Linked DNA regions of Macaca mulatta. The protein of the gene in region 1 purifies or fractionates together with the protein of each later gene. This does not show direct contact. Links are inferred from orthologs where the notes say so. Each region holds a gene or a part of one and is shown on either strand. Other genes may lie near its edges.

Region 1 (15,560 bases):
AACCTCACAGACTTTTTTTGAGCCAAGGTCTCGCTCTGTCACCCAGGCTGGAGTGCAGTGGCGTGATCAGGGCTCCCTGCAACCTCGTCCTCCTGGGCCTCGGCCTCCAGAGTAGCTGGGACTACAAAGCCTGCGCCACCACGCCCTGCTAATTTAAAAACAAATTTTGAAGAGATAGGGGGTCCCGCTATGTTGCTCAGGCTGGAACTCCTGCTCCTGGGTTCAAGCGATCCTACCCCCTGCCCCTCCCGTTGGCCTCCCAAAGTGGAATTACAGGCTGCGCTACCGCGCATGGCCACAAATATCTTATACGGTTGATAGAACAGGAAGCATTACTATCCTTATTTTCCAGCTAAGGCAAAGCTCAGGGAGCCTAAGTGCCTTGTCAAACCAAATAACCAGTAATAATAATAATAATAATAATAATAAAGGCTGTTAATAATAAAATCTTCCTGTTTGCCATCGGCAGAAACCAGGGCTTAGACTCAGGATATCCTAGGATGGGGACAGATCAGATGGACTAGTGGGGCAGTGGCACGACCTGGTGGGGCATAATTAAGAGTCTGAGGGTCACAGTGGAAGGATCAGGATGTGGATCAGAAGTCCAGTAACTGGTTTCTGAGAATCAGGATCCAGGCAGAACAGGAAACACAAATCAGGGAACCAGGACGGACCTGCAGCACAGGTAGTAACCACAGTTGCATTTCCAGTCAAGAGTAAGGTGGTGATACCTAAAAGCCAATTAAGAATGACACTCTGGTACTCCAAAAGTGGGGGTGAGCATAGAACACTTGAGCACATGCAACAAATCAGTACCTACGTCAAACTGACGTATAATAAGTACAACTAATGTGTATACCCTCCTTAAGGACACAATTTACTGCAAATTAGCATTCCTTAATCATATGCAAACCACCCACTTCGGCTTTTGTATATGGTACGTTTCTAAATATGAATTCCATTTCCTGAATTGCTGGTTCAGTTTTTCAGCCATGAAATGTCTTTCTTCTCTTTTAATCATCTTTTAATAATTCTGTCATTTTGTGTTCAATTGCAGTTCAGTAAAACACTCATTTGCATTTACTAAGAGTTTACGTGGCCTGGAACAGAAAAAGAAACAAATTAGGTGGTCGTCTCGGTTTCCTGGAGTGTCCAGAGGGGCGGTTCTTTGATCTTCGAGTTCAACGGGCCCCGGGACCGCCCATTGGTCTGGGAGGAACCTCCCCCACCACACCTCCGGGAAGGCGGCAACGAAAACGCGTTGGGCCCGGAGCAGGGCTTGGGAAAATCGGCGGCGATTCGGGGCCGCCCGCTGGGGATTCCCAAGGTTGTGCAGCCCAAAGGGCCTGGTCACAATTTCTGAGGCGATGGGGTAAACCGACCCTTGGCGACACCCGGCTGCACTCGAACGTCCTAGGTCGTCGAGCCCCGCCCTCACCCTGGACGTGCTCCGAAATTTAACCCTGGGTCGGTTTTGCCTGTTTTACCGCTATTTGAAGAGGGGCACTCAGCTTCCCTCTGGCCCTAGCCCAGGTACTGGGGTTTGCGCCGGACGGATGCCACGCCCCAGGGCGGCCAGGCCACTGGTGATGGGTGACGGGCGGTGCCTCCAGGGTCCCAGTGGTTCCCCGACCGGGAACTACGGGCTTTCTCGCCTCGGCGCCCCCTGGCGGGCCCACCAGCAGGTTGACGGTGTCCGGCCAGTGCTGAGCACCGAGAGCCTCAGCCTTCAGTGAACCCCCCCCCCCGCCCCGGCGGCCTAGGGAAGTGAATCTCAGGGTCCTTGGAAAGAAGTGACCTTGATCTTCCCACCCACTATCCCAGTTTCTCAGAGGCAGTCAACACTGTTCCCACCAAACCACTCCCAAAAGAAACACTGAGCATGTAAGTGGGACAATAAAAATTTAAAAATAATTTTAAAATAGAACAGCTTAGAGATAGAAACTAAATTATTTCCAATTCCTACTGTGCCCCAAACAAGGTTCACAAAAGGGCTGTCCTCCCAATAATTTTCTGAATTCTATATATTCAGCATTAAATTCCATGATAAAGTTGGAAATCCATTCACCATTTGTAATACATATTGATGCATTTAATAAAATTGCATGAGCCGTATCTTTTGCATTTCTGTATCCTAGTATTAAGTATAGTGCCTACCACAGGCCTGGTTCTCAATACTTGAATGACACAAAAATAGCCAGGACCAGCAAGTTTTTTCTGGGTGGGCTTCATAGAATCTCTGCACTTGCTGGAATCACCATGAAATTCATGGTCTTCAGCTTTGCATTTTCAGCAACATGGTTATATTGAGTTATCCTCAGGTGAGTAGTGAGACCCTTGGGAGCGGATTCATGGTAGGGCGGCTTTGTAATGTGTCACCTTGGTGAGGCTGTTTCCCAGAACTCTCTTCCAGTAAGATGGGCCACAAGAGACATTTTGCTTGATAACTGGAGGGCAGAAGTGAAGCAGCAGCATATTGTTTTTACACTTGGAAGGCTGGTGCTGGGGCACCAGGCGCTGTTGCAGTTCACACATTGTCATGTATCTGCTGGATCACCTCGTTGGTGTGGGCAGCAGCCAGGCCTGCAGCTGCTCCACCTTCCCCAGGATCATCTCTTCAGCTTCTCTAATTCCTGGGCCAGATGCATATTTAACTCTGTGAGGAAGGGCACCAGCTTCTTCTGCAGGACACCCACATCATCGAAGCTGGAGGTGGTGAGAGACTGACATGGGTTCCAGGCCATCCTCGTGGGTTCCAGCTCGTGCTCGTGGGCTCCACTGTGTCCTCGGTCTCCCACACTTTACATCCATCTTCCCTTCCCGAGTGCCTGCCCTGCAGACTTCAAGCTCCAGCATTAGATGCAAAGATAACAGCCTTACAGAGACTGTTTAACCAGCTCCCACAATGGCATGCAGTCAGATCTCTATAATAAATCCCTTAAAGTACATATATACATAATCTTTATCTTAGTGGTTCTGCTCTTCTGATTGTACCCTAACATACATGGTAGGCAGAAGCTTAACTCATGAGTCTAAATGTCAATCAAATAAATTTCATATAGTTCATTGTCAAAATTACCAGAATACTGGGGTTGGGTGGTTGGTTCCTGGGGGAAACAAAGCAGTATCAGTCTATCCAGTCTTGACTAGGGCTGAACTAGTTAGGGTGGAATAAAGGAAGGGGTGGCGAAGGTGGCAGAGGCTGGACTGTATGATAGAACTGGGAAATGGCTCATCCATGTCTGAATTACTTAAAGCTGCAGGGCTGGGACTAGGGTAAGGCAAGGGAGGCACGTAGGATACAAAGTTTAAGGAGGCACTCACTCAGTCCTGGCCCTGTAAAGCTGGCTAACAAATTACAGGTCTAATCTTTTTGGCACTTTATGAATGAAGAATTGGAAAGAGTGAGGTAGGGCTGAGCCAAGACTGGCCCTTGGGCAGGACTCGAAGCAGGAATTCAGCCTCCTAGAAGACATTTGGGCTGAGGGCAGGAGCCAAGCACAAAGGTCATCAGAGGGCAGGAGATGCACGTTGTCAGGAAAGATGAGCCAGGCTGGCAGCTTTAGTTACAAAGACTGCTCTAGCTGAAGAGGGGGAGTCAGGGTAACAAGCAAAATGGACAGCAGCCAGTGGGGAGATATATCCTGTAGGGTTTGAGGAATCCTATGCAGCACCTGGGGTCTGCAGGAAACCCAGTTTCTGTATGAACAGATGTTCTGACAAGGTGACCCCATCTACATCGAGTCTTGGCACTTTCTAAACCATGCTAGAGACAGGAATGTAAGGGATTTATTATAGTACTTATAGTAATCTGTGTTTTGAAGGTCACCAAAAACTCCTATTAGTGCATACAGGATTACAGGTTACAGTTTAGTGGCTTAAAGAACAAGGGCTTTAAAAGCTGGGTTTCATTCTAGGCTCTACTAACACCAGCTGTTCGACATTGGACAAATTAATGAGTCTGTTTTCCCATTCACAAAAATGGGCAAAATCAATGTCTTCCCAAAAAGATTATTCTAAGGATTAAATAAACTGGGTCCACAGAGGAACACACCAAATAGCAGTTCCTTTCCTTATTTATTCAATTACATTTTCAATTGCTGTCTCCCTGAGGAAGTATGTAGAGACACTGCCAGGTCTCATCCAGAAGCCACTTACAATTATTCATGAACATGGCTTGTTTAGGTTGTTTTGTGGTGGTTTTAATTATATTACCTTTCCCCATCCCAGCTCCCCCACCCTTAAAATCCAACTTCTTATACTCAGGCTCTTGGGGAGGAGAAGATGCACCAACTTTCTACTCTTTCTCTTCCTTTCCCGCTTACTTCTTCTAGAAGCTCAAAGTACTGTTAGGCCTGCTCCTCTGGTTTCGTGGTAGGTTTTTCCTCCTAGGGTTGATTCACACACAAGCCCTGGCAACCAATCTAGGGTCCAGCCCCTAGTAGATCAGTGTTGTCTCTCATAAAGCCAGTCTGCAAATATCACCTTGAATCCTACAGTCTGTAGAAGCCTCCAGTCTACTGCTTTCTAGCTCCAGGTTTTTTAAGGTCTTTGGACCTAGGGAAGAGGGAGCAGGTCTGTATGTTGAATGAGGTTTGCTATATGCGAAATGGAGCATTACAAAACCATTTCCTAGTATTCTGTGTCCTCCATCCACTTCCCCTTAATTATACCTTTATCTTTTTTTATATCTTCTAAAAACTACCATTACAGACAGCTTGTCCATAGTCAGATAATAAGCTCCCTGAAGGTAGGTATCTTGTGTCTCCTGACACAGGATATAAGCTTTGCAGGGCTCATTGTCCTCAATGCTGTGCACCCAGCAGGAACTCAATCAGGACTTCTGTAATTGGCCAAGCATAGATGAAAGGGTTTCCAGCCTGGTGGGCTAGTTTGTAGGAGCAAAGGAATCCACGTGCTTGGCCAATAGTTTACATTGCCAGTGTCTGGGGCTCTATGCAGGGTCTGTCAACATTCTATAGGAGTCAGCGTTCCCCTGCCCTCCCAACCATTCTAGTCCTTACAGGCATCTACCCTTCGTCCTATGCCAGGACTATAGGGACAGTTCTGCATGGCATCTGAAGTTAATAACCTCAATAGGCTCAGGAAAGGCTCAAGAGATCCAGCCCAAGCCCCTCCACAGAGGCAGCTCCAGGAAGTACAGGGCAACCAGAGATCACGCAACTACGTGTGAACCCGGCTCACAAAGCCAGCTCGGAACCCAGATCTCCTGCCCATCCCACTGCCCAGGCAAGCCCAGCACCATTTCTCTGATATACATTGCTCAATGTCAGGCAACAGCCCACCCAGAGGTCTCCTGGAGACTCCAAAGGCCTTCAAGACTCCAAATGATTATTCTCTGAACAAGAATTTATATATTAAAGCTGACCCTTATAGATATTTCTTAGGAAAATAGGGACCAGACTCCCTATCTTTTTCTTTCAAATTTCATGATAGAGTGTCAAGTCTTCCCCCTACCCCCAAAGGAGAGTCCTAACCTGGAATGCTATTGGGCTGGATCTCCGGAGAAATCTCTATGGTCCTACACACATGCCCCTCATTAATTGTGATCAGCATAGTGGGTATGGGCCTTTACCTCCCACCACACCATGCCAAACTGCTGGCTATACTTTCAAAACTCAGGGCCCACATCTGGCCAACACCCCCTCCTTCCCCACCCCTCACTGTGTGGGGCACACCTTGGCAACCAGACCGCTGTATCTCGGAAGCGGGTTCCACCCAGGCTGAAAATCTCCGTGATCTAGAGAAGAATTAACACCATAGGTCAATGTGGTTGTTGGGGCTATGGCAGGGTCAGGGCAGGGTGGGGCATCCCCAGCACTGACCACGGGTGTGCCAGCCCCTCCTGCCTCTTCTTCTGGGGCCAATTTGGAGGCAGAGTCATCCTTGTTCTCCTCCTTGTCCTCCTCAGGGTCAGGTGGCTCTTGCTTCACAGATGGCAGGCCTGGGTCTACTGCCTGGGAGAAGTAGGAAACAGGCAGCCATTAGAAGGGCAGAGTTAGCCCGAGGAAAGTCTCTATCAGCCAACCCCTCACTGTGCTGACAAATCCTACCTTCCATCACATTTCAACACAGAAAGGCCATCTCTGCCTATAAACCTTTCCCATTCCCATTCCTCACTGACCTCCGTTTTTCTGTTAGCTGGACAGCAAAGCGGGCAAAGCTAATTGCCTGCAGGAGGTAGGGTGTCTGTTAGACAGGCGGGGTAATTCTGCAGAAAGGTTGCAATCAGCACATCTATTGCTCTGCTTAAGAGAACCATCATGGCTCATCATCACTCTGCTTACAGACCAGCCTGCTACGGCATCAACAGAACATCCATCACTGCCCCCACCTTGCTAGGGCAGCCAGGCACCAATACGGGAGAAGTCAGGACAGCTGTGCCTGGTGTCCACTCGTCCTGGGTATCCGCCTTCTCTTGCTTCACCTGGGGTAAGGCCACAACCCAACTCAGGCCAGAGCACTGGGCCTCCTGCGTGAGGGAGGATTGCAGCAGACTTGGTCTCAGCTCCCTGGCATGAGGCTGGGTGGGGCTGGGAAGGGAAGGACAGGGTGGGGCCCTCACCTGCAACAGGGCTTCTGTGGAAGCTGCAACAGGGCCTGGCACCTGCACAGGACTGCTTGCGCCCTCCCGTAAAAACACAAGGTCAGTGCCAGGCGGAGGCAGCACAAAGCCACCACCTGCTTCCTGCTTCGTTGGAGCCTGGGTATGGTCTGGTTGGGCTGTGCGTGTAGCCAAGGTGGGCTTCAAGGTAGGCCCAAGATGGTGACGTCGGGCAGAGCTGGGCCTCTTTCGACGATGGTAAGGTGGGGGCGATCCTGCCCCATCCTCAGACTCTGACCAGACACTGGGCAGCAGCCGCTTCTATGAGGAAAGATAGGGTGCTATGGCTACCTGGTGTCCTGACCAGTCACATCCACCCTGCCCGGCTCCACATGCCTGCTAATCTCCCATCGGTCCCAGCATGGAATCTGCTTACGTATGAGCCCTTCGTCATTGAGCCTGCTAGTCTCCTATTAGCAACACCAATGCCACCTAGACTCATTAAGCCAAGCACAATGTCTGTTAATCCTCAACCAAAGCTACTGCGCCACCCACCCACCTACCAAGCCTGCCCACCACTCCCAGGCACTGGGGCGCCTGGCCCAACCTATCCCGGCCACCTGACCCTTCCTGCCCCACCCACCATGGCAAACTGCAGGCATTGGCGCCAACGACACTTCTGGCGCTTCTGGTTGCTGCCCCCGAATTTGGGCTTGTCGCAGCAGAAGTCGCAGCGGCCACAGTCCATCCGCCGTAGGCAGGCTGCACAGGCCCCGCACTTGCGGTTCTGCCGGCGGTTCGTGTAGGGCTGCTGGGGTGGGGGGAATGGGTGGTGCTGTCAACTAGGACTAGGAGAGGCCATCCTCAACGCCTATTCCAGTGCTGGTCCTGGTGCTCCTCTAGCCCCATAAGAAGGAGCTACTTGCATACTAGTCTCAGCCTCCTGACTCCCAGCTAGTCACTCCTCAGCATTTGCTAGTTCAACATTGGCCACTATCGCTGTGCCAGCTGGCCCTCGATACCATTAGGACTGTGGCTGCTCCACTACAATATCCAGTGCTGTATTTCCTAGGCCACCAATGGCTACCAAGAAAATGTCTCTAACCCCCATTTCCAGCAACATTTTGATAACTCTCTATTAGCTCCCATCACTGTGCCTACTCTGTCTGCTCATCCTGTGTGAACCCCAGTCATTGTGCTAGCTGCTCCTCTGTCAATCCCATCACTGTGTCGATTAGTCCTGCATCAGCCACCAGAGTGTTGATACATGTGACATGAGGCACTGTCATTGCACCTGCTGACCCTGTATTAGTCCTCCATTATCTACTCATCCCATCCTAGGACCCATTATTGTGCCTTGCTGTTCCCCAATAGGCTCATTCCAGCATCTGCTTCTTTGAAGTTAACCAAGCGTCCTGAGAGTCTAGGCTTATCCAGGTAGGGTAGGGCCACTCACTAGCTCGTCCTCGTCTACACAGTAATAGATGAATTCGGCAGGTGGCGAGGGGGCCAGGGCTCTGGGGTGCTGTAGAGGCAAATGGGGTGGGGTCAGGGCAGGTACTGGGTAAGGTCAGGGTTGTGCCTTCCCTCCACCCACTGGGGCCTCACCGGCTCTGTGGGCTCTGGGGACTGTGATGGGGAAGGTGGAGGCAGTGGCTGGGCTCCGGGGCGCCTCCTGGCAGCCATCTTGGAGTCACAGCCTCCCTTGCGGCGGGCATGTTTACCCTGGGAAAGACCAGAAAGGGTGGTTTCAGCTTGGTGGCACCAGGCAGACACAGGAACTCCCCACTCCCTAAGTGCAGAAAGCATGCATGGGACAGGCAGACAGAGGGTGGCATGAGGCACTCACAGTTGGGGGAGCCACAGCCAGGGGAGTGCGTCGCTGACATCTCTGATGACGGCGACGCAGGCGGTGAGCAAGGTGCTGGCAGACAGGGGCAGGCAGGCGGGGCCAGAAAGGTGAGCGTGGGGTTAGGCAGAAAAGAAAGACATAAGGTAGGCAAGGCCAGGTTGAAAGGAAGCAGAGGCAGCGACGATTTTAACAGCAGAGTGAGCTCTGCTCCCTCCAGCCCGACTCACCCGTAGGCAACGTCGCTGGACACATTTCCACTGGCGCCTGAGACCAGGGCGGGGAGGGCGAAGGCAGATGGGACAACGGCCACAGTCCTCTTGGGTCTGACAGCCCCGGCATACTCCACACCCTCGGCTCTGTTGGAGGGGATGTGGGAGCAGAGGCATGAAGCATGGGGCCAAGCCCACGAGGGCCAGGGGCCGAGGTGAGCCTTGGGCTCTTTCCACTTGCCCGACTCACCCTTTCCACAATCCGGAGGCAGCGTCTCCGTTCACACTTGCAGAACAGCCCCGATGCCACATCATGGGGCAGCTGCAGGAGGCACGTGGAGCAGGCCCCACAGTCTTCTGTTACCTGGCAGGCTGCACACTCCCCACAGCCCACACGCTGCCAGGAATGGTAGGGACGAGATCACGGGCCTGCTCCAGAAGCACTGGTCCTCCCATGTCTACTGACCCTACATCAGCTCCCATCACCGGGACTTCTAGTCGCCCGTAAGCCTCATCACTGAGGCCATTAGTATGTCTACTGGTCCCTTGCTAACTTCATCACTGTGTCTACTGATGCACTAATGGTAACGGGAATTAATTAACCCATTGATTCCCATTACTGTGTTTGCTGACCTATGGAGAGCACCCTATAAAATGACTTCATCCTGTGGACCTATCATCATCCCTTAGGACTCTACCAGCTCAATCACATCCTGCTCCCACTGCAGAGGTGTGAAGAGAAAGCAGGTTGTGCTTACCTTAAACATTCTCTGTTCTCGGTTGAAGGCAATTCTCTGTGCTGTGGGGAGGAAGAGGGAAGAAGAAAAGTGGAAAGAAAGCAACAGACATCTGACTGATTCACTCACTGCCTGTGCCCTGACTTCCACTATTCAACCTCTACCCATGCCTGCTATCTCCAGTATCCAACCTCCAACCATGCCAGTAGCCTCTGTCCTGACATCTACATTCAACCCCCAGCCTAGCATGACACTGAACCTGCTCTAGCTCCTATCTCCCGATGCCCCATCCTCTGGGGGTCACTCACCTCGACAGTCTTTGCACAATGTTTTGAGCCGCTGCCTTTGGGTGCCATCCCCTGAGAAGCTGATTCCACAGTTCTCACAGCATCTGGGATGGGAAAGGCAGGTGAGGGGCTCCAAGAGCACCCCCAATCACAACCCTCACCCATCTGGCTCACCTCAAACCAACACTCACCCAGGAGCAGGGAATGAAGCTGGGGCTGTGTCAGTGTCAGCCTTGGTCTCGTCCCTTGGGGCCTCCTTCCTGACCTCACCACTCTGGGGTCCAACCTGACGTTTCCGAGTCTTGGCTGGCTTTGAAGGCTTCTTTCGCTTCTTGCTGGCAACAGCCACAGGATGGGCCTGGAAAGTAAGGAAAGGAGGCATATGGGTCAGTGGGTGGGTGCTGAGTGGCACAGCCACCCCTACCTAGGCATCTCACATTGTAAAGTACCTTGGGGGCTGGATAGCACAAGATGCCTTGTTTGAAGTCGAAGAGGGTGAGATCACACGCAGGGCCCAGGTATCGAGTCAGCTCAACTTTGCTTCGGATCCTGTCTCCTGTGGGGCTAGGGATGGGCCATGATGGGTTAGCACCCAAGTGGAGCCAATGTCATTTCACCCACACAACCTTCCGACAGGGCTGGCAGGATACAGGAGGCAGCCTGGAATTGGCCTGTGAGCCCTGCCCAGCCCCACCTCAACTAACCTTGAAAACATAAAAAATTAATATAAATACCAACACAAATACAAACATCAGAAACAATACAAATGTAAACAGACAAATATATTTATAACATATAATACTAGTAATACTGGAACTATTTCACATAAGTAAAAATAGACACAAATAGAAACACAAATATATTAAATAACATATAAATATGTTAGCACTGGCCAGGTGCGATGGCTCACACTTGTAATCCCAGCACCTTGGGAGGCCAAGGCGGGCGGATCACGAGGTCAGGAGATCAAGACCATCCTGGCTAACATGGTGAAACCCCATCTCTACTAAAAATACAAAAAAAAATTAGCCACGCATGGCGGCGAGTGCCTGTAGTCCCAGCTACTCGGGAGGCTGAGGCAGGAGAATGGCTTGAACCCGGGAGGCGGAGTTTGCAGTAAGCCGAGATTGCACCACTGTACTCCAGCCTGGGCGACAGAGCGAGACTCTATCTCAAAATATAAATAAATAAATAAATAAGTTAGCATTATGTACCCAGTATATAATCAAGCAAAGAAAACAACACAAATATGTTTTAAAAACACACAAACAAATACAACTACACACAAATTAAAGTATAAGTAATTGATTTTGGGACCCCTGGTTTCTTGCATTTCTGTACGCCCTGCAAGAGAGACACCGATTATTCTTTTTGATAAACTATCTTTCCAAGGATGTTTGTAAAGCAAACAACCTTGGAAGATAAGAGATAGGGTCTCCTTCCATAGTAAAAGGAAAGCATACTTAGTGTCCTAACGTTATTAAAAAAACTTGATTCTCTAAGCTCAGGGTTCTTTTCCTATAATAATACAACCCTCTTCATGTCATGCTGTAGGAATTGGGATTCAGGAAACTGGCACAAAAATAGTAATACAGTAATTCCCCCTCTCGTCAGGGTATACATCCCAAGTTCCCCAGTGGATGCCTGAAACCGTGGATAGTACCAAACCCTAATGTAATATGTACTGTGTTTTTTTCTACCTGATAACTGAGATGGTTACTAAGCGACTAACAGGCAGGTTGTGTATAGAACATGGATATGGATATGGATATGGATATGGACAAAGAGATGATTCACCTCCTGAGCAGGACTGAGCAGGATGGTGTGAGATTTCATCACGCCACTCAAAACGGCACACAATTCAAAACTAATGAATTGTTTATTTCTAAAATTTTCCATTTAATATTTTTGGATGGTGGTTGACTGTAGGTAACTAAAGCTGTGGAAAATGAAATTGCAGATAAGGGGGAGACTTATTCTGGATCCTGCAACTGTTATAATAAACTGTCTTTGACCTGTAACCCAGGAGTCTTACCTCTCCTACCAACATCTACAAAATTCTGACAAATTCACTATTATCTTGTCCTAAGAATGAAATCTCAGATCCTTCGTAGTTCCTGACAACTGCACTTTTAAGTTTTGAAAGTTTTATACGAGTACATAAATATGTGAATAAATTATAACTAAATACAAACAAAAAGTAATTTGTAATTTGATATTTACCTGGAAAACTGCAACTTAGATTTAAAAAATCAGAACGAATATAGAAACATAATAATTAATGTAGCCTAAACACATGTAAATGCTTATAAACATCTATGCTGATTCTCATTAGTTATGGTAGGTATGTTCTACAAAGTTGCCATGAACACTGAATACAAAACCATTGCTCCTAGAGGAAATACAGGGTTAGGTTCCTGAGAGCATCTGAACTTCTGTTTTGTGCGTGTTTCTGTTTAAATACACATTACTTAATATATATTTTTTACAAATGATTATTTGCATGGTCTTTGAATGACTCAAACCAGGGGCTTTGGAGGCCATATGTGTTCTGTAGGTTTGTTTGCTAATATTTTTGTTTAACAAGCCAATCCCATTGGCATTGAAAACCACTCTTCTACACAACCCCTTTCCTATAAAACACTTAAAAGGTATTTTTAAAATTCTTCGGAAGACTCCTGATCGGGAGAACCTGCATTGCATGCAAGTTTAACATTTTTCATGCCATGTTGCCTTTTGAAATGTGCAAGTCAGCCAGCACTAGCTGATACAACCTTAATATTTTCCTAACCCAGGGTAACGTGACTTTGGCTTTCCTCAACAATGCTGTCCACTATGCTTTATTGATCGTCATTTCATGAATCCACCAACGTAGCTGCTTTCTCATCTCTTCCATAGCTTCAAGACTATAAATGCTTTCTGTATTTTCTGAAGCAGCCTTGTGCACATATTGGCAAATTTCCTTCTTTTTCTGGTTGTACCATAATTCTGATGCATAACATTGAACTTACAGCCAACAGCATTGTAACTCAGATAACCAACAAGGTTTATCTGCCTTGTATTTTCTCCGTAAGGCACGACATGGCCTTCTCACACTCAGAACACTAAACAGCACCTCAGCACTACGCTTGAGGACTATTTTAAAAAGCAAAATCACCAACAAAACATACAAAAATTAGAAAAATGTGACACTAAACAGACCACGAAAAGGACACTTGTTTACAGTATTAAAGCTGAAATAAAAAGGGCTCCTTCAGTCTCAGCTAGAAACACATGCATTGAGTGACAGTTTTTCACTGCTCTGTGCATGTCCTTCAATAATCACAAATGCACTGTGAGTAGTGACTTTTAAGTTACAAATACTGTATTAAGTAGGTGAAATTGCAAACACAAAATCCGCTAATAACGATTAACTGTGCATAATTTAAACTCCATCCATAAATTTAACCGCACTATTTGATTTTACCCTAATGAGGCTCTACCCCACCCCCACTCTGCCCACAACCCACCCAGTACCTCTGGTAATAGGTGTCTGAGCGTCCACAGGTGGCCCCTGACTTGCGAAAGACTTCACGGCGCTTCCAGCCAGGGCCCAGGGCCGGGCAGTCCAGCCAGTCCTCAGCCATGGAGGCCACAGAAAGCAGCAGTAGCCTGAAAGGGGGTTGAGGGGATGAGGGAAACTGAGGCTCTAGGAAGGGACAAAATGTGCCCCAGGCCACACAAATCACTGGTATCCATTAGTGCTTGCCCAAGACCTAGGACCTGCCGCAGGCAACCAGCCCATATATGGAGAAGAAACCCCTCATATTCTCACCCCATTCTTTCCTATTCTGGGCCTAGGAGATCCTCATTCCTCAACCCAAGGATCCCTGTTTATTATTCTTAGTGTCCTAATCCCCTACTCCTCTCTATCCTCAGACTGACAGCCCATCATTTCTCCTCACTGCCAATCCAGAAACTTTTCATCTTCCCCCCTCATTCCTCCCTGTCACTGACCTAAGGGCCTCTATCCCTCTATTTTATCACCACAAGACCCCCATACTTCCCATCCTCAGCCCCAAAGGGCCCCATTTCTCTTGCCCTCACTACTTGGCTTCAGTAGTCTCTCATTCCCCCCTTCCCCGACCCAGGAGTTCCTAATTTCCTTCCTTCAGTGTTTTAACCATTCCATTCCGTCTCTGCCTGATGTCCTCTTATCTTGCTACCTCAGTGTTACAACCTCGACTTCCTCTGCGAGACACAACTGCTCCAACCCATGACCCGAACAGCCCCTCATCTTTTCCATTTCTCACACACTGGAAGCCTCCCATGCCTCCCCTTCCTCAGCCAAGAGCTCCCCCCTTATTTTTCTTCTCCTTCAATGTTCTGGCCCACAATTTCTCCCCAGTCTCAGCCCCCAAACCTTCCTGTTTCTCTCCTCTACATCCAAAAAGTTCCCCACTTCTCCCTCTCACTGTTCTCATTCTCCATTCCTCCCTTATCCTGAGAGACCCTAATTTCTCCCCTCAGCATTCCGAACCCTCCCCCATTCTCTGTTCTTGTCCTGGGATCATGCCATCCCTAACTGTCAGCGTTCTGATCCCCTACTGCTCCTCGTCCTCTATATGGGGCCTCCCATTCCTCCCTTTCAGCATTCCAACGCCTCCATTTCTCCTGTCATCAGCCTGAGGGCCCCTCATTTCTCCCGCTCGGAGTTCTGAACCCCCATTTCTCTCTCAACTTCAGATGCCCTGATGTCTCCCTTTAGCGTTCTGATCTCCACCATTCCTCTCCGTCCTCGTCCCAGGATCCCGACACTCCTACCTGTCAGAGTTCTGAGCTCCATTCCTTCCTGTCCTCAGCCTAAATTCCCCCGTTTCTCCTCGTCAGTATTCCGACGCCGCCATTCCTCCCCCTCATCGGCCTGAGGGCCCTTGATTCCTCCCCGTCAGCGTTCTCAGCCACAATTCCTTCCTATCCTCCGCCTGAGCACTCTCCACGTCCAGCCCCAAGGCTGTCTCACCAGTTTGGCACCAGGCTGGTATCTTCCGCCACTCTAGGCCCGTGGACCCATGGCGAGGGTCCCTCCTGCGCCTCCCGCCTCGCCCTCCTCCCCTTCTTCCTCCTCCGCGGCCGCCTCCTCTGAAGCGGTAGCTGTCGCCTCCGCGGCTGTTCGTTGCTCCCGGAACCGGAAGTCCGCTGCCTTCCTCTCGGGCTCCGCCTCTGGCTAAGCACCTGCGCGCTATTGCCTCGACGTCGCGTGCCCTTAATAGGGAGGGTCCCGCGCCTGCGGGCTGGCGCTCTGCAGCGGGGCGCGCGCCACCCTGCCGAAAACCAGTTGCATCTGCGTGCTGACGTTCAACGACAGCTCGTGCCCCATCGAAGGAGGGACCTGCAGTCGGGGCTGTGCTCGCTGACCATCTAGCTTGCGCATGCGCTCTCCAGTCTCAAACTGAAGGGAAGTCGTCGGGGAGGGCTTGCGCCTGCGCCCTCCCTTCCCTCCCGCGGTCTCCGAGGCGGATACCCACAGCGGCGAGGAAGCTGCTTCGGGCCTGCGCACTCCCTGACCCAGCCGGCGCTCTCTTCTCCCATCTCTCGCTGGGGTCTATCTTGTGCTCGCCGGTCCCTCCGAACATTAGCCCCAGGGCGGTCGTGTCCCGCTCCCTCCTCCCCGCCGAACAGGTGCTGGAGCGCGCGGGGCGGGGAAAGGGGCGGTGACGCACCGCAGGTAAACTGAGGCACGCGGGAGGGCGCGCCCCTGCAGGAGGCGAATCCCCAACGTGGGGCTTGTTGGGAAAAGGCGGGGCCTGGCGTCCACAGTGGAGGACAGCTCTGGGTGGGAGACAGGAGCACGCGTGGGCGGTGTCACCACACTGAATACGTGCTGCGTAGACCCTCTGCCTGTGGGAGGCTGGGAATGTGGGTCCCTGG
Region 2 (16,322 bases), on another chromosome or scaffold:
GGCAAAAATTTATATTCACAGTACAAATAATGTGCTCACTTCCTTCAACTGGGAGCCACCAATAGGGTGTCAATTTAAAACAATTCATCTCCAGAAAAACCAAGTTCAGCTTAACTGGACTAGTTTTGGCTCAATATATTAAGAAAAATGTTTAACAGAAAACTGGACTTTAAGCCACTATATGGATGTAAGTAAAATCTGTTCTTACCTACCCGCATAGCAATAAAACCTTTCCTCCTGGTTCTGACTGCTAGTCCTAAGAGTCAGGTGTGCCTTACTCTTGTCTGCCTCCTTCCTTGCGATGATCACTGAAATTTCACTCCCTCCTAGCTTTCATGGAGCGTGCCGTGGCCTGCCCCTGGCTTATCTGTACTCCACATACCACAAGTGTCTACTCTCAGCTGTAGAGTGTCTGAGCTCGGAGCCATTCGCGCTATACTTGCTAGCAGTTCCTAGTAGCTGAACATCTCTCCTGGATCTTTAAAGGCATTGTCACGAATCCTGAGGTATCTGCAAACTCCCTCAATAGTTAAGGTTCCACCTGCTATTGCAAACTCAGCCAGTATCATGGACTATCACCCATGCTTTCCCACCCACCACCATGTCCCACCCACCTCCCACCACCCTCCTCCCCAAACTTCCAACACACCCATGGGATGGAATATACAGTACTATTGATAAACAAATCTCTATGCTACTAGGTACAATAGCACTGAAATTGAGAGCACCAAAGGTAAGGCTCAAAAGAATCTATGTACAAACAACACATTATTGGATATTAACTGTTAAAGGTTTAGAAATCATTTTCTATACAATTAACATTTTAGGTAGGTTGTGTGACCTTGTGCCATAAAGGGAAACTGCAGTTAACATGAAATTACATAGAAAAATTTAGTTTCTATTGGTATGGTTTTCATCTCCAAATTAGTATAGTTAACTGATAAAACCTCTGAAGGCCCACCCAACCAGAACCCAGTCAAACTGCAGTTTTCCTTTAATGTAAGCCTATCTTTATGTTCATTAAATACTTTCTGATATTGCTTATTTTTAAAAGGCCTCCCAAACACTTCAAATCTGTGGATTTATGGAGCGGCATTAGCCAGCAGCTAGTTTCTATTCCCTGGCAGAGCTTTGAACTTGAATTGTGATAGAAGCATTCAACATCATCAAGGGGAGTGGGTAGGGAAAGTCCAAATCTCTGCCAGTCCCAAATCCATACAGTTGTCATTTCATTCAAGAGAATTAAATCGTTTATTGATTACACATGATAATGGATGATACACAAGCTTCATTCCCATCTATAATTTTATCTGGTACCATTATTCAATTTAGATATATTGCATAGGATGTGCCAACAATCACTTTTATAACCAATAATTCCATGATTTTGCTTGGGTAATCCCTTTTAACGGTGAACTTCAGGTCACAACAGTAACTATCAGTTCAACTACACCAAGGTTTCCGAAGACAATGGCTTCTCCACCCAAGCAGGTTGTATATAAATTCCAAATAGAACCTGGCATCACCCTGAAGGAATTCTAACTTCACACTGTTGGGGAAGTTTACCAAGATGGCTTCAGAGTAGACTAACTTTACACAGCACATTAAAAAAAAGACATTTATTCAGCGTCACGATCAGACTATTACATTTAGCAATCAACAGCATGGGTGCAAAAAAAAAAAAAATCTACATTAAAACCCTTTGTTGGAATGCTTTACACTTTCCACAGAACAGAAACTAAAATAACCTGTTATACAATTAGTCACAAATACAGTCCTCGAGTTTTTTGCCCATACACATGAGTATTTGTCTAAAACATGTCTTCTTTGTAGCAGCTAGGCCCTGCCACCACTGTGCTTGGCTGAGTTCACAAATCTGTTGTAACCTGTAGCTTCCCTGTCACTTCTCTGGCTCTCCTCTCCTGCTAAGCTTTGTTTCCTGTTGAACAATATGGAATAAAGTTGTTAATCTAAACATATTAAGACTCAAGGCTACAATCCAATATCAAGTTTGCTTCCCACAAATTTTGCTGATCTGAATATTAACTTTATATCCACAATTACTGCAATTATAATGTTAACTATGTTGCACTGCTCAGCTACATTAGGGTTATTGGGTTCATCAGCAATTTAAAAAATTATGTCCACACACAAAAAGGTGCTTACTTACCTAATTAAAATCTTCTGCCACTGCCATAGCTACTGCTGCTGCTGGAACCGCCATAGCCACCTGAAGAGTACAATTTTTCTTTTAAAGTTTCAAAGTGCCAACAGTAACACAATGTTTTCATAGTTGAGATAATAAAAGTTAAATTCAAGTGTCTGGCCATTTAAAAATGGCCCCTACTCCAAAGGAAGTGGTAAAGCAGTCCCATGACTTTTTAAATTTGTGATCAAATTATCACTTTCTGAAGGTTCTAAACTGTAAACGTTTTGCTGCCTAGACATAGCAGTTAAAGGGCTTTCTTCCCAGCAGTAGCTACAGATACAACTCTTTTGACATGATCCCAAATTACACAGATACCATACCTTGGTTTCGTGGTTTTGCAAAGTATTGACCTCCACCGCCATAGGGGCCAGAGCTTCTGCCTCCAAAATTTCCTCCCTTCATGGGTCCAAAATTTGAAGACTGATTGTTGTAATTGCCAAAATCATTGTAGCTTCCACCACCTCCAAAATTGCTTCCTATGAATGGGAAAGAGGGCCTTCGTCTGTTACCTGAGGATGATGCTAGTTTCCAATTCTGTTTAGTGGTCAGAATAAAATAAGGTTGAGTTATCTGCCTTCCTTTCTCCCAAACTATGGTGACTCCAATCTTTGCATTTCATTCTCTGGGAAAGGCATTCAGTTGAATAATCCAGTAATAAAAAGAAAACTGGCCTAACTCACCATGACATAAAATAAAGAGATTTTCATAGTGGCTCAAGCATATTCTCCAGCCTTGAAGGCCTTCATGGATCCAGGGCCACAGCAAGCAGAAGTATCTTGGATACATCAACTAAGCGCCTAAGGTCCCAAAGGAGTTAAGATACTAAATCCTTCTATGATACTAATCTAACTCAAAGACAATACTATCCACTTATCTCTACTAATTGGGAGTGAGGCGGCCCCAGCTTAAAGCTAGGAGGAGGTAGCATAGCAAGCCCATTTGTTTTTAATATACCATGCAATGTACCATACAATGCTTTAACAGCACCAGAACCCAAGCTCTAAAAGGCTAATCTAGCTGTCACACCAAGTACTTGGATCACTGGATACCTACCACTACCACCGCCAAAGCCGCCTCCGCCTCCGTTGTTATAGCTGTCATAGCTGCCACTCCCGCCATAGCCACTGCCCTGGTTTCCATAACCCTGTCCACCACTTCCATAGCCTCTGCTTCCTCCAGAGTAACCAGGGCCGCCTCCTCCATAACCACCTACAAGAATACAATTCTTCTCAATAAGACAAAAGTATTTGACAATGAAAACGTGTGCAAGTGTAATGGCTGAAGGCCTGCTCACAGCATGCGTGTTATGGGCAAGGTTGAGTTTGTCATGCACCAGAATTTTAGTCTCTTATCAACCTATTCTAAAGATCCAGGTTGCCAGGATTTTTTCTCTACTTAGTCCTAAAAAACTTACCATCATTACCAAATCCATTATAGCCATCCCCACTGCCACCATATCCACCACCACCACGGCTGCCACCAAAGCCACCTGGAAGAAAAAGTTTCAAGTTTTAAGTATGACTTGCACTGAAAATGACATTCTAAATGCACTTCCCACACTGTAAAATCTACATAGCAAAGACGGTGTGACGTCAGAACTACACGTACATAAACCATACATACCACGACCACTGAAGTTTCCTCCACGACCGAAGTTGTCATTCCCACCGAAACCACCTCCACGACCACCACCAAAGTTTCCAGAACCACTTCGACCTTAAGAAATGAAGTTTACTTCATTCATACTGAAGTAACTCAAAGTTACCTTTAAGGTTTAATTAAGCAACAAGCATACCTCTTTGGCTGGATGAAGCACTAGCCATCTCTTGCTTTGACAGGGCTTTCCTAACTTCACAGTTGTGGCCATTCACAGTATGGTATTTCTGAACTAAAAAAAATATAAATACATGGTCTCAGGGTTTAGAATGCCACATGGATTGTGGAACCCTTACTAAATGACACTATCGGATACTTACTGACAATCTTATCCACGGAGTCATGGTCGTCAAAGGTTACAAAGGCAAAGCCCCTTTTCTTGCCACTGCCTCGGTCAGTCATGATTTCAATCACTTCAATTTTCCCATACTGTTCAAAATAATCTCTTAGGTGATGTTCTTCGGTGTCTTCTTTAATGCCACCAACAAATATCTTTTTCACAGTTAAGTGGGCACCTGGTCTTTGAGAATCCTAATAGGAGGAAAACCACAGGTTTAGATTAGCAAACCCTATATTCAAATCAAAAATTGTTCTGGTAAGTTTAGAAAACTCCTGAATCTTAAGTCCATAGCAGCACATCTCTAAATGAGTTGAAGGGGGAAAAAAAAACAAAAAAAAACCCAACACAAAACAACTCACTTCTCTTGAGACAGCTCTCTTTGGTTCCACAACTCTTCCGTCCACCTTGTGTGGCCTTGCATTCATAGCTGCATCCACCTCCTCCACAGTGGCATATGTGACAAACCCAAAGCCCCTGGAACGCTTGGTGTTTGGATCTCTCATTACCTGAGAACAGTGTTAATTTATGTAACAAAGTCTGACCGCAGAAGCTTTTGTCATTTTAACTTTGAATAGGGCAATAGGAAACTTTATACCAGCCTTTTATGAAAAGCGGTCCAGTTTCCCACTACCCTAGATTTAACAAGTAGCTTTTAAAATCAAAGCAGAATATTCCTTTGTCGACAAAGCTCTAACCATAATGCTACTAACAACTTTCATAAGCATTCAGAGAGGACTGCACCAAGATATGCCAAGGAAATCTCGGCTATTTTACTGCTTTGTCCCAATTCTTACCACACAGTCCGTGAGCGTTCCCCATTGCTCAAAATGGCTCCTCAGGCTCTCATCGGTTGTTTCAAAGCTCAACCCTCCAATGAAGAGCTTCCTCAGCTGTTCGGGCTCTTTAGGAGACTGGAGTGGGGGAAGGGGGAAGTGTTAAATGGACTACAACACGAAACAATTTCCATCAAGGAAAAGAAAAACTAGACACCAACTGTGTACCTAGCACTTATTGTTTGTTCAGGTCGCAACAGGCCACGTGCTTCTCCCCACCAAGGGAGGCAGTATGCTGGGGGTTGGGAGTGCTGGGAAATCGCAAGCGCATGCGTCTCTAGTCGTCTTCCGACGCACGCGCAACAAAGGCTTGGGCGGGAGGGGTGCATCTCCATAATGGGACTAACCGCTCTTCAGAAATCTCGCTCACCAAGGCAAGGTTTAAAAAAAGACAAAGATCCTGTGTGCCTAAGAATTTTGCTACGAGTAGCGAGTCCCGCGTGATAACTCGTGGTTGGCGGAGAGCGGCCTCATGGCGATCAAGAGGACAAAATGGCGACTTGAACTTTGGGAGGGGTAGGCCTTGGCAGCGACCGAAGTTAACTGTAGAATCGGCTGGTGCAAGGAACGAAACCAAGCCGCATCTTACCGATTCAGAAAAGGGAGACGAAAAACATTCAAGTTGGAAAGCTCGCCTAACTCACCTCTGACTTAGACATGACGGCAGGGAGAAGAGAGACTTTAACGATGCTTCTTCGGCGGCGTCCACGGGCAGAAAGGAGCAAGCTGACGAACGTATCTGCCAGCCTACCTTCGGCCTCTCTTTTTTACCCCGCCTCCTCGCTTTCGGCATTGGTAGACTCCGCCCTAGAACAGCTCTGATTGGACATTTGAAATCGCTTCCCCTTGCTATTGGCCTGTGGTGCCACATTGCTGTGTAACGTCATTCCTTTGGGCGTTCTACGCGTCTCCACCCCTTGGAGTCAATTGGTTCTCGAGTAATATTACTGTTAACCAGTCTGATTGGCCAACCGACCAATCATTCATGTTTGAATCTACCTGGGGTGTTTAACGCCTTTTTCATCTTCCACGCGTAAATATTACAGTCAAGTCGCTTGGCAAAGCATGATTAACACTATGTATTAGACAAGCAGCCAGGAGGTCACAGTTTTTTTGCAAAGAACGCTTGTTGACCGCACGTGTAGCAAAATGGCGAATTTTGCGCAGGCGCATTAAGAAGTTCCACCTGCCTCTGGGAACACGTGAAATGGCGGGCAGGACTAGGCAGTGAACCTACGGCGCCTGCGTGTTGGCGGGAGTTGGTTCTAGCTTTGCGCATGCGCAGTGGGCGGAGAAAAAAGGTCCGGTCCCAGGATTGGTTGCGCAGGCGCAGGGAAGGATCCGTTTTGGCGGGCGGTTGGCGTTGCGCAGAAGGCGGCGGCGGTGGTGGCTAGTGGTGCGGCCTCACCAAACAGGAACAGGGCAGACGTTAGCGTGAGTGATCACTCTCAATCCCGGGTAAGTGGCAGACAGTCTTATCTACCCATAGTAGGTCTTGAACTGACTCCATTTGGGCCCGTTATTGTGTGAAATGAATGGACCGCGGGGTGGGGGATAGTCAAGGGGCAGCGGTGGATCGGGTCAACCAATAGAAGAACAGGGGGCGGGATGTTTTAATCCCTGTAGGTTCTTGGGAGCTGTGCAGCCGAAGACTTTGACTGGCTTGTGTATAGGCCAATTGGGTGTGCCTTGAGCTGCCGACTGATCGGCCCTTGGGCCATCGGAATGTGGGAGATGGGTTTTCCCCTTCTGAGCAGCGTCTCACTGAGCCAGTGAGCAGGAAGCGCGCGGTAGGTTGGGCTTCTCCAGGAGGCAGCGGTTTGACTCCAATGGGGAATGCGGGATCGGGCGGTTAAACGGATGGAACGAATCTGGAGCCAGTAGACGGACAGCCTAAGGAAAGCACTGGGACCAGTCGTCCAATCGGCTCTCCAAAAGAGAGAGGTCTTCGATTTGGGGTTGTGAGGAAGGGGAGTCGGTGCCTGTAATGGCGTGTGAGGATGAATGTTTTATCCACAATGACTTTTCTAATGTTCTAACGGAGCCTTTAGGCCTCAGTCCCATACACCTCCCTGAAGCCTAAGTTTCCTCGTGTATTCCTCGACTTGACCATGTTTCCCCCGCCTCCTCACCACTTGAGGTTTGGGGAACAGAGGAGGTTTTTGTTTGTTTTTTTATAATACTTTCAGAAGTCGCTTCTTTAGGAAGACTGTTAAAATGTTAGAACGAATAGGAGAAATCTCTATATCCTGATAGTGCATATTTCCACGAACAATATGTTTGTAGGTCCATAGAAAAGTTTTCCAAAGCTACACACCAAAGTGTGTCAGTCCTAGGGACACAGTAGGATCGAGGCAGGCTGGTTCTTTAATGTTTAAAACTTTGCAAGATTAATGATTTGTGATTAAAATTAAATAAAAAATGAAGTCAATTGTTTTGTGTTTCTAATCATAATCACATACTTACCACCCTTTTTCTGATTTATATAATCCATGTGCCCAGTGCTTTTATTTTAGTCTCTTTCTCCCGGGAACTTTCCCTCTCATACATTTCCTTTCTTTACACCATTAAAGATATCCTAAAACCCCTCATTTTGATGTTCATTTGAGGATATCTGACTTTGGATTAAAAAAGAAACGCTTAAAGAGGGTAATATTTAGGGTTCTGGGGACAGAAGACTCATCCATCACCTGGATTATTCCTTGCCTTTTAATTAGATTTCCTTCGAAGTGTGTTTTACATGCAGTCTATCTCCTTTTGGTAATGCCCCCTCTGCTTATTCCAGGATCTTTTGGAGAAATAAATAAATTTTGATAACATTGGCTGTATCAGAGTCTTACTGCTTTGTTCAATAATTCAGGATCAAGGGAAAATACTTAAATACTGAAAATCAACTACCTATGAAGTACACTTATGACTAGAGACCTTTCCGACTTTATACCAAAGACAAACGATTTTAATAGCAGTTTATGAACAGAGGAAAAATTTCCATGTTCTCTGGCACTAGCAAAAGGATAAAGTATTTATATATAGTTTATCCCTGGTTTTAAACCTATTTGTAGGTATGCTAGTAATGGGGTTGCTGAGCTTCTGAGAACTAAAGTGATACTGGTTAAGGGTATCTGTCCTGGATTTATTTAGGTTTGAAAGGAATACAGTCTTAACCTGCAGCAAGATTTCTCAGCATTAGCACTGTTGATATTTTGAGGCAGATAATAATTCTTTGTTAAGGGTATTCGGGGTGTCCTGTGCATAGTAAAATATTTAGCAAAATCCCTGGCTTCTACCCACTGTATGCCAGTAACATCGCACCTCTCGCCACATCCCCATTTGTGACAATCAGATTGTTAACAGACATTGCCAAATGTCCGGAGAGGTAGGGATCGGGGATAAAATCTCCCTCGGTTGAAAATCATTCTCCCAAAATTCTGGAGTATGCAGGGCACAGTTTCGTGTTCCTGTAGTCCCAGCTACTATGGAAGCTGAGGCAGGAGGCTTGAGCTCAGGTGGTCAAGGCTGCAGTGTGAAATGATTATGCCTGTGAATAGCCACTGCACTCGTCTGGGCAGCACAACAAGATCCCATTGCTAAAAAATAAAAATAAAATGCTAGAGTTTATTATTTTTTCAAAATCCATTATTTTACCAATTGGAAAATAGGTAAAAGTGAGAGAAGATGGTTGAAGTGTTTAGGGAGTGGCCTTTGGTAAATGGATCGCTAAATCCTGATGTTTATCTCCTTAGATACAGAATTGATCATTGTTCCATTTGATAAAAGGAAATTTTTATTAAAATTTTTACCACTTGATCTGGTGCCAGTGGCTTACGTCTGTAATCCCAGCACTTTGGGAGGCTGAGGTGGGCGGGTCACTTGAGGCCAGGAGTTTGAGACCAGCCTGGCCAACATGGTGAAACCCGTCTCTACTAAAAACACAAAAATTGGGCCGGGCGCAGTGGCTCATGTCTGTAATCCCAGCCCTTTGGGCGGCCGAGGTGGGTGGATCACTTGAGGTCAGGAGTTCAAGACCAGCCTGGCCAACATCGTGAAACCCGGTCTCTACTGAAAATACAAAAAAATTAAGTGGGCGTGGTGGCAGGTACCTCTAATTCCAGCTACTCGGGAGGCAGAGAGAATTGCTTGAACCCGGGAAGCGGAGGTTGCAGTGAGCAGAAATTGCACCACTGCACTCCAGCCTGGGTGACAGAGCGAGACTCCGTCTCAAAACAAAAAACAAAAACCCCTGCAAAAATTAGCCAGGCATATTGGTGGGCACCTGTAATCCCAGCTACTCAGGAACCTGAGATGGGAGAATCGCTTCAACCTGGAGGCAGAGGTTGTAGTGAGCCAAGATCGTGCCACTGCACCCCAGCCTGGGTGACAGAGTGAGACCTTGTCTCAGGAAAAAAGAAATATTTACCACTTTTTGCAACTTAAACTTACACATATGATTGATTGCATCTTGTCCTTGTTTGGCTTCCTAAAATAACGGCAAATATGTTTTTGAAGAAGGTAGACTTTGCCTCACATCCGTCTTTTTCACTTGATTCTAGCTAGCCTCTTTACTGGGATTCTTTACTGGGATTCTTTTGGATCCACGTTTCAAAACTTTTTTGACTTCAGTAAGAAATGTATTTTACAGTAATCCTGTACACACATTGAAACAGATTTCACTAAACAAACGTGCAGAGCACTCCGATACTCTTTTGTCTGCAGTATACTATTTCATTGTCTTAAGAAAGCAGTCAATTTCCACCGAACTGATTTCGCAGCTGTTTATAGACCCAGAGTTTTGGGGGAGAAAAGACTGCTGATCTGAACAATAGGTCACCAAATCATGCCACCTTTGATTACTTTCGGAGTCAGTTCCTTCCATCTCCAGCCCCAGCCCCTTGTACAGATGGTCCCTTAGTTGTGATATTTCGACTTAAGATTTTTTCACTTTTACAATGGTGTGGAAAACAATTTCCTTTCAGTAGAAACCATACTTCAAGTATCCACATAACCATTCTGTTTTTCACTTTCGCTACAGTAATCAACCAATTACATGAGATATTCAACACTTTATTATAAAATAGGCTTTGTGTTAGGTGATTTTGTCCAACAGTAGGCTAATGTAAGTATTCCGAACACATTTAAGAGTAGGCTAGGCTAAGCTATGATGTTCGGTAGGAACACCTTAGGTGTAGGAAATGAATTTTCAATTTTTCGTATTTTCAACCTGTAAGTCAAGGAGTATCTAAACAGATTAAGCAGTGACCTGTTACTTGGTGTTTTTACTCATGTGTTTTACTTTGAAAGATTATAGGAGCCGCCGGGCGCGGTGGCTCAAGCCTGTAATCCCAGCACTTTGGGAGGCCGAGACGGGCGGATCACGAGGTCAGGAGATCGAGACCATCCTGGCTAACACAGTGAAACCCCGTCTCTACTAAAAATACAAAAACTTAGCTGGGCGAGGTGGCAGGCGCCTGTAGTCCCAGCTACTCGGGAGGCTGAGGCAGGAGAATGGCGTGAACCCGGGAGGCGGAGCTTGCAGTGAGCTGAGATCAGGCCAATGCACTCCAGCCTGGGTGACAGAGCGAGACTCCGTCTCAAAAAAAAAAAAAGAAAGATTATAGGAGCCAAGCCGAGACTTTCTAGTTTACTGTGGTGTGCAAGTGAAAATTGCTTGTTTTATTGTGAAGTCTCACAGTGCTTAAAGAGGGAAAACAATAAAAATATTGCAAAATCTCTCACAATGTGATAGGGTTTTTTGTTTGTTTGTTTGTTTGTTTTGAGACGCTCTTGTTGCCCAGTCTGGGGTGCAATGGCGCGATCTTGCCTCACCTCAACCTCTGCCTCCCGGGTTCAAGCGATTCTTCTGCCCCATCCTCCTGAGTAGCTGGGATTACAGACGTGTGCCACCACGCCCTACTAATTTTTAGTAGAGACAGGATTTCTCCATGTTGGTCAGGCTGGCCTCGAACTCCTGAACTTAGGTGATCCGCTTGCCTTGGCTTCCCAAAGTGCTGAGATTACAAGCGTGAGCCACTGTGCCCAGCCTCTAATGTGATAATTAATAGATATGATGAATTTTTCACTCTGGTGGTGAAATTTTAGTGGGTAATTTTTCATTGAAATTCTGGGAATCTCACAGAGTTAGAAATCCTAACTTCCAGTGTGATATGTGTTGGGCCCTCAATTACAAAAGTTACAGCATTTGTGCTTAGAACTTAGAGACATACCGGCCGGGTGCAGTGGTTCATGCCTGTAATCCCAGCACTTTGGGAGGCCGAGGCAGGCGGATCATGAGTTCAGGATTGAGACTATCCTGGCTAACATGGTGAAACCCTGTCTCTACTAAAAATACAAAAAATTAGCCAGACGTGGTGGCGGGCGCCTATAGTCCCAGCTACTCTGGAGGCTGAGGCAGGAGAATTGCTGAACCTGTGAGGCGGAGGTTGCAGCGAGCCGAGACTCGGCACCACAGCACTCCAGCCTGGATGACAGAGCGAGACTGTCTCAAAAAAAAAAGAACAACTTAGAGATATACCTAACCATTGCAACCAAATCTAAAAGGAGTGTTTACTATAAAGGGGAATATATTTTTTCACTGTTCTGTCTGAAAACTAGTAAGTGGAAAGCTTCAATTTGGGTAGTAGGTAAGCAGGGTGATAGTTGGGGAAAGAAGGAGTGAGCCTACATTTGAAGCGGCTGGATTTGTATATGGCTGGGGAAATTCTGGAGATTCTCAGAGCCTTTTAACAATACTCTAGAAAAGAGAAAGGTTTGGTATCAGGGTACAAAGATTTTTGAGGAAGACCAAGTATTTTTTTGCTTCTGTTGAGGTTTGTTTGTTTTTGAGACAGTCTCACTCTGTTGCCCAGGCTGGAGTGCAGTGGCGTGATCTTGGCTGACTGCAACCTCTGTCTCCCAGGTTCAAGCGATCCTCCTGCCTCAGCCTCCCGAGTAGCTGGGATTACAGGCATGTGCCACCATGCCTGGCTAATTTTTTTGTATTTTTAGTAGAGACAGGTTTTCACCGTGTTAGCCAGGATGGTCTCGATCTACTGACCTCGTGATCCAACTGCCTCGGCCTCCTAAAGTGTTGGGATTACAGGCGCTAGCCGCTGTTCCCAGCTCTATTGAGGTCTTTAACTGCATAGCATGATTTCTGTATCTTATTGATATAGCCCATTTAATTAATAACTGTCGTGGTAAAGCATTTCTAGTCTTTATTTTGTCCTTTTACTTAGATTGTTTTTATTTCCATTCACCTTACATGAAACTGGGCCTAAAGCTATGTTATGGATATTGATTTTAAAAGTAATAAATTACAACATGAGATACCACTTGACTCAGTATGGCTGTTTACATATCTGCTATTCATGAACTTGGACTCTGGGCAATCATCTTTTTCTCCTGACATAAACTTTTATTTTTCTTCCTTGCTTATAGAGAATGATTTTAACTGATCATTGTACTAATAGGAAGGAGTCCAGGTCATCCTGAGAAGAGTTCGCTTGTCCAGAGTCCAAGATGCAGATTTGTTGGATTTCTGTAAGCCACTCGAAGCCACATATTCATTTCTGATGACAGCTTTACACTTGTGCTGGAAGAACACCCACTGTGACAACTGCTGCCTATGTTTAGTCTGTCCAGGAGCTCTACCAGCTAGCATGTTTGCAGAAAAACCTACACTGTTCCTGTTAGCAGCTATGTAAATATTAGATCTTTCTGAGTTTCTCTTCTCAGATCTGCCAATTTCTTTGGGGCAAATTGTATCCTGCAGTTGCCTCAATCTACCCTTTGAAAATGAGGGATTAAAGGTTTTAGACATTCTTTGGGTTATCTGAAACACAATTCTTTTTGGATCAGTAATGTTTTATATATGTCTACTTTATGATTTTTAAAATTTTATTCCCCCTGTGTATTAGTTTCCTGTGGCTGCTGTAACAAATTACCACAGACTTGGTGGTTTAAAACAAAAGGAGTTTATTCTTCTCACAATTTTGGAGCCCAGAAGTCTACAATCAAGATATTGAGGCCCTTTTGGAGGCTGTAGGAGAGACTGTGTTCTTTGCCTCTTTTAGCTTCTGATTATGGTCAGCATTCCTTGGCATGTCTCTCTGTTCTGTTTTCACATTGTCTTCTCTCTTGAGTACTTCCATCAGAACTCTCCCTCTACCTCTGTATTATAAGGATACGTATGATTGCAAATAAGAAACCACTTGGATGAACCAGGATAAATTTCTCCTCTCCTATCTTTTAATTCAACCTGAGAGAGCAGATTTAAAATACATTTTATTCCTAAACTGGCAGGTCCCTGAAAAAAAAATGTAGATTCATGTTTATTTTATTTTGAGACAGAGTCTCGCTTTGTCGCCCAGTCTGGAGTGCATTGGTGTGATCCCGGCTTACTGCAACCTCCGCCTCCCAGGTTCAAGCTATTCTCCTGCCTCAGCCTCCTGAGTAGCTGGGATTACAGGTGCCCAGCCAATTTGTGTATTTTTTTTTTTTTTTTTTTGAGACGGAGTCTCGCTTTGTCACCCAGGCTGGAGTGCAGTGGCCGGATCTCAGCTCACTGCAAGCTCCACCTCCCAGGTTTTTCACCATTCTCCTGCCTCAGCCTCCTGAGCAGCTGGGACTACAGGCGCCCGCCACCTCGCCTGGCTAGTTTTTTGTATTTCTTAGTAGAGACGGGGTTTCACCGTGTTAGCCAGGATGGTCTTGATCTCCTGACCTCGTGATCCGCCCGTCTCGGCCTCCCAAAGTGCTGGGATTACAGGCTTGAGCCACTGCGCCCGGCAATCAATTTGTGTATTTTTAATAGAGATGGGATTTCACCATTGTGGCCAGGTTGGTCTCAAACCCCTGACCTCAGGTGATCTGCCTGCCTCAGCCTCCCAAAGTGCTGGGATTACAGGCATGAGTCACCACGCCTGGCCAGATTCATCTTTTAATCACATCTTTTGCTATATAAAGTAACATTTACAGGTTCAAGGGGTTAAGATATGAATCTCTGTTGGGAGAGGGCCATCATTCAGACTACTACACATTGGTTCCCTAACCTCTACCCAAATAGATTTGACCTAATTCAGAAAAGAAAAGGTTATTTTTAAAGAAAGAGAGGCAAGTGAAAAAAGGCTCAGAAACCTGGGTTCTTGTCCTACCTCTGCCATTATCTAATGGTGTAACCATGGGTGAGCCATCTGCCCTTTTTAGTCCTTAGTTTCTTCATCTTATAGGGAAGGAGTTGGATAAGTGATCATTAACAAACCTTCTAAACCTTAGACTTTATGAAGTGACTCCTAAGTCATCTTGGAGTTTGCTTTTTAAGTCAATAATTTTTTTTTTTTTTGAGACGGAGTCTCGCTTTGTCTCCTAGGCTGGAGTGCAGTGGTGTGATCTCGGCTCACTGCAACCTCCGCCACCCGGGCTCATGCCATTCTCCTGCCTCAGCCTCCCGAGTAGCTGGGACTACAGGCGCCCACCACCGCGCCCAGCTAATTTTTTTTGTATTTTTAGTAGAGACGGGGTTTCACTGTGTTTGCCAGGATGGTCTCGATCTCCTGATCTCGTGATCCGCCCACCTTGGCCTCCCAAAGTGCCAGGATTACAGGCATGAGCCACCGTACCCGGCCTTAAGTCAGTAATTTTAAATGTGAATCAAAACATTACAAATTACAACGTTTTGTGTCAGTGTAGTCCTGTTCTTGCCTAGGACTTGAAGGATGGAAGACTGAGCTGTTGGCTGACTGTTAACTCCTTGGGTTATTAACACAGGATAACCTGTATTTGTTAGCTGTGTGCTTAAGCCTTTCTAAAGAAAAGGTTTTCTACAAGGAATGTAATAGACTAGCTGGGACATTTTCACTATATTTCTAGTGAGGCTATAGATTGTGTAGCCTGGATTTTCTTTCCAGTAGTAGTAGTTCATCAAAATTAAACACTGACAAATTTTTTTCTACCTGAAACTAGGTTATAGAGAGAGTAAAAATTTTCACTTGCAGTCTTATTCTTCATACTCACTGAATGCCTGTTCCATCCTGTTTCATTACTAGGAAGGACACTAGATAAAGCCCTGAGCTTGAGATGGTGTACTTGAAAGGACTGTTTGAAGATCAGGTTTTATAACATACTCGTTATTTATTTCTTCTGTGGAGAGGAGGAACTAAATTGGATTCAAGTATTTTTCTGATAGTAATCTATGTTTCTTAGAATAAAGCAAGTTCATATCTGAGCCAGAGGGCATAATTATGTCAGAATAAAATATAATTATGTCGGAATAAAATGCCCTGTACTAAAGAGGTCAACTAACAGGCTGGGAAATCTTAAGTTTTGTTTTTAAGGCAAATCCTTGAACTCTCCGTGCCTCGTTTCTCATCCCTAAATCTGTGCACCTCACCTCACTGTGAGTTGTGGAGGGTAATATACTGCTAATTTGTTCAGTATTTCACAACAATAAATTATGCCTAAGATCTGATAAAACATAGCAAACCTCATTTATATGAATAGAGATAAGCATAGATAAGACTTACAGATAATAAAGAAAATTTATTAAAATTTTAACTTCCTTGATTATTAAACATTTTTCCTTCTGTTTCCTATATATTTTCCAAAGTATTTTCTTATTATTTTTCCATGATAGACTTATGAAATAGGGCAAATAACAAACACCAGGTTATGTAATAATGAATAAATCCATCAAGTGGATATAACAATTCTAAATGTCCTAAAAGCTAATAATAAAGCTTCAACATACACAAAGGAAAACAGAAATGAAGTAACAAGCCAGGCGTGGTGACTTATGCCTGTAATCCCAGCACTTTGGGAGGCTGAGGTTGGTGGACTTCTTGAGGTCAGGAGTTCCAGACCAGCCTGGCCAACATGGCGAAACCCTGTCTACTAAAAATACAAAAATTATCTGGGCATAGTGGCATGCGCTTGTAATTAATCCCAACTACTCGGGAGGTTGAGGCAGGAGAATCGCTTGAACCTGGGAGGCGGAGATTGCAGTGACCTGAGGTTGCACCACTGCATTCCAGCCTGGGTGACAGAGCAAGACTCCGTCTCAAAAAAAAAAAAAAAAAAAAAGGAAATAACAGACATCTGCAATTATATTTGGAAATTTCAGTGCCTCTCAGTAACTGATAAAACAGGTAGACGAAATCAGTAAGGAAACAGAAGACTTGAACAACACTGCCAATAACCTGATATAATTGACATTTATAGAATAGTACAAGCAACAACAGAATACATGTGCTTTTCAAGTGCACATGGAACAGTTACACAGTTTATCTTCTGG

What was found.
Region 2: the proteins of MBD1 (region 1) and CBX5 purify together in Homo sapiens (affinity purification with western blotting; 3 studies listed by BioGRID and IntAct, with this or other methods). This does not show direct contact. The link is inferred for Macaca mulatta from reciprocal best matches to the Homo sapiens genes MBD1 and CBX5.

What each region holds. Positions count from the first base shown.
Region 1 is NC_133423.1:42,023,396-42,038,955, reverse strand, and holds MBD1 (methyl-CpG-binding domain protein 1), read right to left. Parts: upstream 14,814-15,560; 5' UTR 14,653-14,813; intron 13,302-14,652; 5' UTR 13,277-13,301; coding exon 13,167-13,276; intron 10,215-13,166; coding exon 10,100-10,214; intron 10,009-10,099; coding exon 9,842-10,008; intron 9,755-9,841; coding exon 9,672-9,754; intron 9,426-9,671; coding exon 9,385-9,425; intron 9,024-9,384; coding exon 8,877-9,023; intron 8,774-8,876; coding exon 8,645-8,773; intron 8,291-8,644; coding exon 8,174-8,290; intron 8,091-8,173; coding exon 8,022-8,090; intron 7,377-8,021; coding exon 7,209-7,376; intron 6,887-7,208; coding exon 6,587-6,886; intron 6,494-6,586; coding exon 6,356-6,493; intron 5,979-6,355; coding exon 5,847-5,978; intron 5,762-5,846; coding exon 5,700-5,761; intron 4,558-5,699; coding exon of another isoform or gene 4,518-4,557; exon of another isoform or gene 2,841-4,517; coding exon 2,651-2,840; 3' UTR 1,886-2,650; downstream 1-1,885. UniProt on the Homo sapiens protein: Transcriptional repressor that binds CpG islands in promoters where the DNA is methylated at position 5 of cytosine within CpG dinucleotides. Binding is abolished by the presence of 7-mG that is produced by DNA damage by methylmethanesulfonate (MMS).
Region 2 is NC_133416.1:61,460,508-61,476,829, reverse strand, and holds the start of CBX5 (chromobox protein homolog 5), read left to right. Parts: upstream 1-6,370; 5' UTR 6,371-6,496; intron 6,497-16,322. UniProt on the Homo sapiens protein: Component of heterochromatin that recognizes and binds histone H3 tails methylated at 'Lys-9' (H3K9me), leading to epigenetic repression. In contrast, it is excluded from chromatin when 'Tyr-41' of histone H3 is phosphorylated (H3Y41ph).